2 linked regions of the Mus musculus genome follow. The protein of the gene in region 1 interacts with the protein of each later gene in a pairwise test. Links are inferred from orthologs where the notes say so. Each region holds a gene or a part of one and is shown on either strand. Other genes may lie near its edges. The genes, in order: Ybx1 and C1qbp.

Region 1 (3,916 bases):
TCATTTAAAAACCACAGCATTAACATAATGGCCTGCTTAGAAACAAAGCACAGTTTAAGCAGTTAAATAGTAATTGAGGTTAAGGCAGTCTAACAAAGAGTCATCAAAAGCCAATTTACATTTAACTTGTCCGGAAGGATGATCAACAAAGTTGATGGTAAGTGCTGTAACCTACATAATGTACAATGTAAAACTGAGGTATACACATCTTAGATAGACACTACTTCAAAAAAATGTGACAAGCCCAGACAAATATTAAAATGTATTAAACACATACAAAAACCACAATTTGCCTAACTGGAAGGGCTGCTAAGGAGGGCTAGCTAGTTATAATGGACTGAGGGTTAAAATTGTCCTCTGGAAGGTGAGAGCAGACTATTCTCCGCATCACCTGGGACCATCAGGATGAACATTTTAACCCAACCAGGAATAAGGACCACTTTAAAAGCCACCAGGACGTCAACCCCACAAGCACCAAAGCCTTACATTTTTTTTTCTTTGCTCACTAGTAACCCGGGGGGGGGGGGGGGGGGGAAGGAACCCAGGACACATGGTCAGAAAGGCAAACTGCCCGTGACAGGAGAAATCCTAGAGTCTGGAAAAACAAAATGTTTCCCTCTAATTGCAACTGTAGAGAACAGTCCATTAAGTGATTGTAATCGCTTTTGCTTGAGTGTTTCCACGACTGTGTGGGGTTCATCAGTGAATGTTTTTCATCACTCCGTTATTTTAAAAGCCTATAGCTGCCCATTCACGAGCACTGTGCCACTCTGTAGCGCTCTCTTCACCATCTACTTATTTAACGCCTTCTAAGCGAGCATGTAAGAGAAAATGCTGAAATGGCGCCAAGTATCACAGCTGTACGGCCAGGATTGCTGCTGGCACTCGCGGGGCTCTACACCCATGCAACTGCACTAGCCTTGGCAGCCATCTTGAAAAAGATGCCGGGCTCACAAGGGAGCCCAGAGTGCAGGCAGCGCCTGCACTTACCACCGCCGTCTACAAACCCTTCTCTGGATCTATGAAGGTATAGTTTACAACTCTAAGCCAAATACAACGAAGGCTAAGTTCCCAAGGACTTATGGCCACTCCAGCAAGCTATAACAAAAATTGATTTGATCAGCATGATTCCCTGACAAGGAAGTAAGAGAAATAAAAAATGAGGAAGAACCATTTCCTTTCAGATACGTTACTCGTCGTTTGGACAAATAAGAAGAGCCCTCTTTGGCTACAGAAGGTCTATAGGAAAAATGTGCTCGAGGTACTAAATGGACTGAATATTCGAGTAGTCTAAACAAAGGCAACATAACCTTACAGTACAGATAACATCTCAGGCAACTGACATGTCAAATCCCGTTCCCCGAGAGGTTAACAAGGTGAAAGATCACCTGTATGTTAATTAGCGGGTCACATTCTTACATAGCAATTTCAAAGCAGAAAGGGATGTCAAGGTTAAAAGCGTGCTTAGCCTGGAGTTGCCTCAGTTTGATGCAAGGTAACTGTTAAGGCATGGCTCATGCGACGCGCCTGCCTTGACCTGCTTTGTGCCAAAGCTTTTTGAGGCTAGCTCAAGATCGGTACTTAACAGCAACACAAAGCGAGTCTACAGACCCGCTAATCCCGTCACCCAAGGAAGAAACACAGGGTCCCAATCCCCCACCCTGTCATGCCCGCGGTGGCTCTGGCCCATGCAGGAGGCGGACGCGAGCTTTCCACCCCGGCATCTCACCTGTTGATGAAACCGTATCCGTTCCTTACATTGAACCATTTGACTGTTCCCAAAACCTTCGTTGCTGGAAAACAAAGCACAACAACGTCCAATCACCGGCTGGCCCTGGAAGTCGGTCCAGGATCTAGCCGCAGGCCCGGGCCGCCGCCCTCGCCGCACACGTGGGTGCGCCGGGTAGCGCGGGTCCGAGGTGGGTGTGCGCCCGGGAGGCGAGCACGTGAGGGCCGGGGAAGCAGCCCGCGCTCCTCCGGCTGCGTAGGCGGCGGGGCGGGGACCCCAGCACGAGGCCCCGGGGCGGGTGGGCGCGGGGGAGGGGCGGCGGCGGCCGGAGCAGCGGCGGGATCCCGGTGTGCGCGCGCCGCGGGCCTCGGGGGGGAGGGGCGGCCGCGTAGTCCGTGGCTCGGGCCGCGTCGCCTAACGGTCCGGCCCGCGGCCCCATCCCCGGTCCCTTCTGGCGCTCACCGATGACCTTCTTGTCCCCGCCGGCGGGCGCCGCCGATGTGAGGCCACCCGGGCCGCCACTACCCGCGCCGCTGCCCGTGGAGCCGGGCTTGGTGTCGGCGGCGCTGAGGGCGGCGGCGGGGGCGGCGGGCGGCTGCTGGGTCTCGGCCTCGCTGCTCATGGTTGCGGTGATGGTGACTGGGGCCGGCGGCGACGGCTGCGGCTCCTCCCGGGTGTGATGGTGACTAGGCCGGCGGCGGCGGTGGGGCTCTCAGGGCTCTCTGGGGTCCGCTCTCCGCTCCCGCTACCGATCGAACTAGCGAGAATGGCGGGACGGGCGGGATAAGCCCCGCGATAGACCCGCCCTCGTCCTCCCCCATTGGTCCGCATCGTTGTCCATCTCACCACCTGACCGGGTCTCTAGCGCCTATTGGCTCACGCTCCGCGGCTCCTGCGCTCTCATTGGTATCTTTAGCGACTAATTCGCCCGACCCACAGCTTCTCAGGCCTCCGCCGCCATAGAGACCGGAACTAGAATGAGAGCCTCGGCCGTGAGCACCATAGAGTACCGGGAGGACGCGCAGAGGGAACGTTCCCAGATGGGGCTGCGCTCGTCGCGCACGTGGGCCGCGATCGCCGGGCCTACTCCGGCCTCCTAGAAGGGGCTCCTTCCCACGGCTGGGTGAACGCCGGGGCCTCCTTAATGGGTCAGGCTTTTGGTGATCCAGTCACCTTGGAGGGACCACGCAGGCGCTGGAGCTGCCACGACTCAGCGTGTTCAGGGCGGGGGTGATCGTTTCCCCCGGCGTCCGAGGAAATGTATTTCATACTGGCCACAAATCAGATTTAATTTCGCCTCACATTTATTGGATGTTAGGGTTTTTGACTTTATAAACTAAGCACTGTAGACAAGGATTGCTATCCTTGTTTTTATACACTGTAAAACACACGCTGCCTTCTTTCTGAAGCCCTCCGCCTACCTTCATTCATTCTTTATTACGCATCTACTATTGACTGGGGATTGAAGTAGTTTGCCAGTTAGTTTCTGCTTTCTGATGGTGGAATTTTAAACGCCCACCACTTCTTGGTTGGGTGAGCACAGCGTTTGGGGAGTGGGAGCAGGAAGAGTTGGGTGGTGACATTTCAGGCAAAGGTAGGTTTGTGCAAAGGCCTAGAAAAGATAGGGTCTCACGGAGACTGCAAATAAAGGAAACCAATCGAAGTAGGAATCAGAGGTGGGCAGAGGTGTTTTTAACCTGAGATTCTTCCCCTGATCACCGGTGAGCAGTGTAGCTTTCGCGGTGTAAGTAAGGAGTAGCATCGTTAAAGAAAGAAAAGGCTGCTGCTTGGAGAAGGGGCTGCAGAGAGAGAAGGGATGGGAGTGGGGGAAACAAGAGGACCTGAGATGGCTCTGTGTGTAAAGGCACTTGGCCAAACCTGAGTTCTTGCCTTCAGCTCCACATAATGGAAAGAGAAAGATAGCCTCTTCCTGTAAGCTGTAGCTTGACCTCCCCACGAGCACTGTGGCATACTCCTAGCTCCCAGTAAATAAAAGCATGAACTAGAAATACAAAAAGAACGCTAAATCCGACGGGCTGTGGTGGCGCTCGCCTTTAATTCCAGCACTTGGCAGGCAGAGGCAGGCGGATTTCTGAGTTCGAGGCCAGGCTAGTCTGCAAAGTGAGTTCAGGGACAGCCAGGAGAAACCCTGTCTCATTCCCCCCCCCACCACCACCACCACCACCA
Region 2 (2,997 bases), on another chromosome or scaffold:
TCACGGTCACTTTCAACATCAACAACAGCATCCCTCCAACATTTGATGGTGAGGAGGAGCCCTCACAGGGGCAGAAGGCTGAAGAACAGGAGGTAAGCTAGTAACACTCCAGCCAGCCAGTCTTTCTGTCCGAGAAGGAGGAACTTTTTAGGTAGATTGTGCATGGACCATGTTCTCAGAGTGTGTGGCCCCCTGTAGAGCTTAGGCTTCATTATTGGCCTGTGTCCTCTTAATACAAAGGAGCTATGACCGCCCACCCCTGCCTGTGTGGGGTATGGGAGGACTTAGTCTACAGATAACTCTCATTGGGAGTGTTTTCAGTGTGAAAGATGACAAGTGGATGGTCAACACTCGTCGTGTGACCAAGATAGGAAGGCTGGGGTGGTGGGGCTTAGAGACTTTAAATTATGTTTATTTGTATGTTTGACGCTAATGTGTGGGCTCGTAGGAAGCAGTTGCATCCTTCTTACCATGTGGGGCCCGGGGTTGAACGGAGGCCTTCAGGCTTCAGCAGCAAACTCCTTTACTGGGTGAACCGTCACTCCAGCTCAACCTTATTTATTTTATTTTGGTTTTTGAGACAGGGTTTCTCTGTGTAGCCCTGGCTGTCCTGGAACTCACTTTGTAGACCAGGCTGGCCTCGAACTCAGAAATCCGCCTGCCTCTGCCTCCCGAGTGCTGGGATTAAAGGCGTGCGCCACCACTGGCCGGCCTTACATATTTTTAACATTTGACCAGTTGAAATGTTTTCCTTAAGTTGCTGCCCTCATGGCTGGATCTAGATACCCCACTGAGGGCCACAGGATCCCCAGGCTATCTAACTAAGCAGATATCAGTCTTGTGTATGAAGAGCTGAGTCCCCTGCTGTGCTTCTGTGTCCTAGCCTGTACCCAACTCCTTAGGCCTGCCCCTTGGGTCACAGTAAAAGGAAGTTGCTGCTATTTCTGGTTAAGATGGCCACTTAGCTAGAGCCCATATGTTCCAGGCCTCCATCGTGCACCAAAACAGTCAGAGGGGAAGGAGGTCCAGGTCTGTGCTGCAGCCTTGTGTGCTCTGCAGTGTATGGGAGCAGAAACAGCCCTGAAGAATAAATAGCTAGCTGTGCCTGACGGCAGATATCATTCTGGACCCATGTGATTGATAAACTGTTTAGTGCTCTGTTGGAAGATTTGAGTGCCTTATCCACAGCCTAAGACTAAAAAATGGCTAATAGTAACCTAATGGCTATGGCTGTCAGACATTCTGAGCTTCCTATTGGTCCAGGTGTGTGCACCCTCCCAGCACTGGTGTATGCTGACTTAATTCCTGTCTCTCCAGCCAGAACTGACATCAACTCCCAACTTTGTGGTTGAAGTTACCAAGACTGATGGCAAGAAGACCCTTGTACTGGACTGTCACTATCCTGAGGATGAGGTGGGTAGGGTGGAGTCTTCTGACCTTCATGTAGCATACACAGGAAAGATCTGTTAATCTATTAGATGGAGGGGGTGGGAACAGGGTTAGAACTACAGAGCCTCTTTGCACTTCCCTTACCTCTGCTGTATCTCTCAGATTGGACACGAAGATGAGGCCGAGAGTGATATTTTCTCTATCAAGGAAGTTAGCTTTCAGGCCACTGGTGACTCTGAGTGGAGGGATACAAACTATACACTCAACACAGATTCCCTGGACTGGGTGAGTGTTGGCTGAGGGGGTGCTGGGCGTTTGCAGAGAAGTGTCCTCTTTCAAGCATTACAAGAGGGGAAATAAATGTGTCTGCGTGGGTGTGCTGAACCACACGGGAAGGTCAGCCCACAGACCTTGCCAGACCACTTTTGGGTTTTGTTTTTCAAGCTAGTAAATGTATTTTCTCCCCAGGCCTTGTATGACCACCTAATGGATTTCCTTGCGGACCGAGGGGTGGATAACACTTTTGCGGATGAGTTGGTGGAGCTCAGCACAGCCCTGGAGCACCAGGAATATATCACCTTTCTTGAGGACCTCAAAAGCTTTGTCAAGAACCAGTAGAACTCAGAGACTGCGGGCCTTAATTTAAATGGCAAGCTTTGGCCAGTGAACAAAAGCTCCCTTGGCATCAGAATTATGCTTCAAAAATGGCTGTCATCCTAATATATCGGGGGGAAGCAAGTTTAAATTACTGCTGTTACACCTCCATTCGCTATTCCTTTGGGCTTTTTTTCTCTGTACAAATTTATTATTTGTAGATTTTTGTATAACATGATGATGGACAATAAATCTGACTCCAATAAATCTCCAGGAAAGTTGAGGTTCTTTCGCCCACATCAGAACACCAAGAGCAGAGATGTCTGAAGTTTTAATATAAAATCCGTTATATACAAAAGGCTTGTGCATACAGGGCCCTCTCAGGAAATGAGTTGTTCTCAGCTCAGTAGTGAAGTGTGAGGTCGGGATGGCTAGAGGATCACAGCCCAGGTGTCACAAGTCTGGATTAAACAGAAAACAAGATAGTGTAACATCAACAGTTAGATCTTACATGGCTAAAAGTTGTCATCAGTCGTGACATGTGTACTACAAGTAGAACCACTATGAGTTAATTCACTGGAATTCAAAGAAGCCACTGCGTTCATGGACCTGTTCTACTAAACAGAAGCCATCAGCAATGTAGCTTATAAGCCTAGGCACCCTCAGAAAGCAAAACCCGACAGCTTGGGGCTTGTGGAGCCTGACAGCGAGCCTCTTTGGATTTACCAAGTATTCTAAGTCTGCTTCACAGTAGCCTCTTAAGTGATCCACACCTATACTCGCCTCATCCTTGGTATCTGAATCTTACCGTTTGCCTTGATGTGCCTTTGAGACCTAGTGACACTGAAATTTTCAAATGCCTCCATACTTCTCAGGGCTGAACTTGGAGCCTGCTCAATGGTTTTTTTCTCTTGCAGTTTCTCATCTGTGGTGACACCCCTTACTCAACAATAGTCTCTCTAGCCTGGCCAGTGCTGGTCTGAAAGCACGGCTTCTGACAGCATTGGTCGCACT

What was found.
Region 2: the proteins of Ybx1 (region 1) and C1qbp interact in binary tests that used the Homo sapiens proteins (3 or more experiments, as listed by UniProt). The link is inferred for Mus musculus from reciprocal best matches to the Homo sapiens genes YBX1 and C1QBP.

What each region holds. Positions count from the first base shown.
Region 1 is NC_000070.6:119,292,013-119,295,928, forward strand, and holds the start of Ybx1 (Y-box-binding protein 1), read right to left. Parts: upstream 2,502-3,916; 5' UTR 2,352-2,501; coding exon 2,192-2,351; intron 1,794-2,191; coding exon 1,730-1,793; intron 1-1,729. UniProt on the Homo sapiens protein: DNA- and RNA-binding protein involved in various processes, such as translational repression, RNA stabilization, mRNA splicing, DNA repair and transcription regulation.
Region 2 is NC_000077.6:70,977,105-70,980,101, reverse strand, and holds the end of C1qbp (complement component 1 Q subcomponent-binding protein, mitochondrial), read left to right. Parts: coding exon 1-92; intron 93-1,317; coding exon 1,318-1,413; intron 1,414-1,551; coding exon 1,552-1,674; intron 1,675-1,857; coding exon 1,858-2,007; 3' UTR 2,008-2,256; downstream 2,257-2,997. Other genes in the region: Rpain (RPA-interacting protein), read right to left, coding at 2,415-2,444.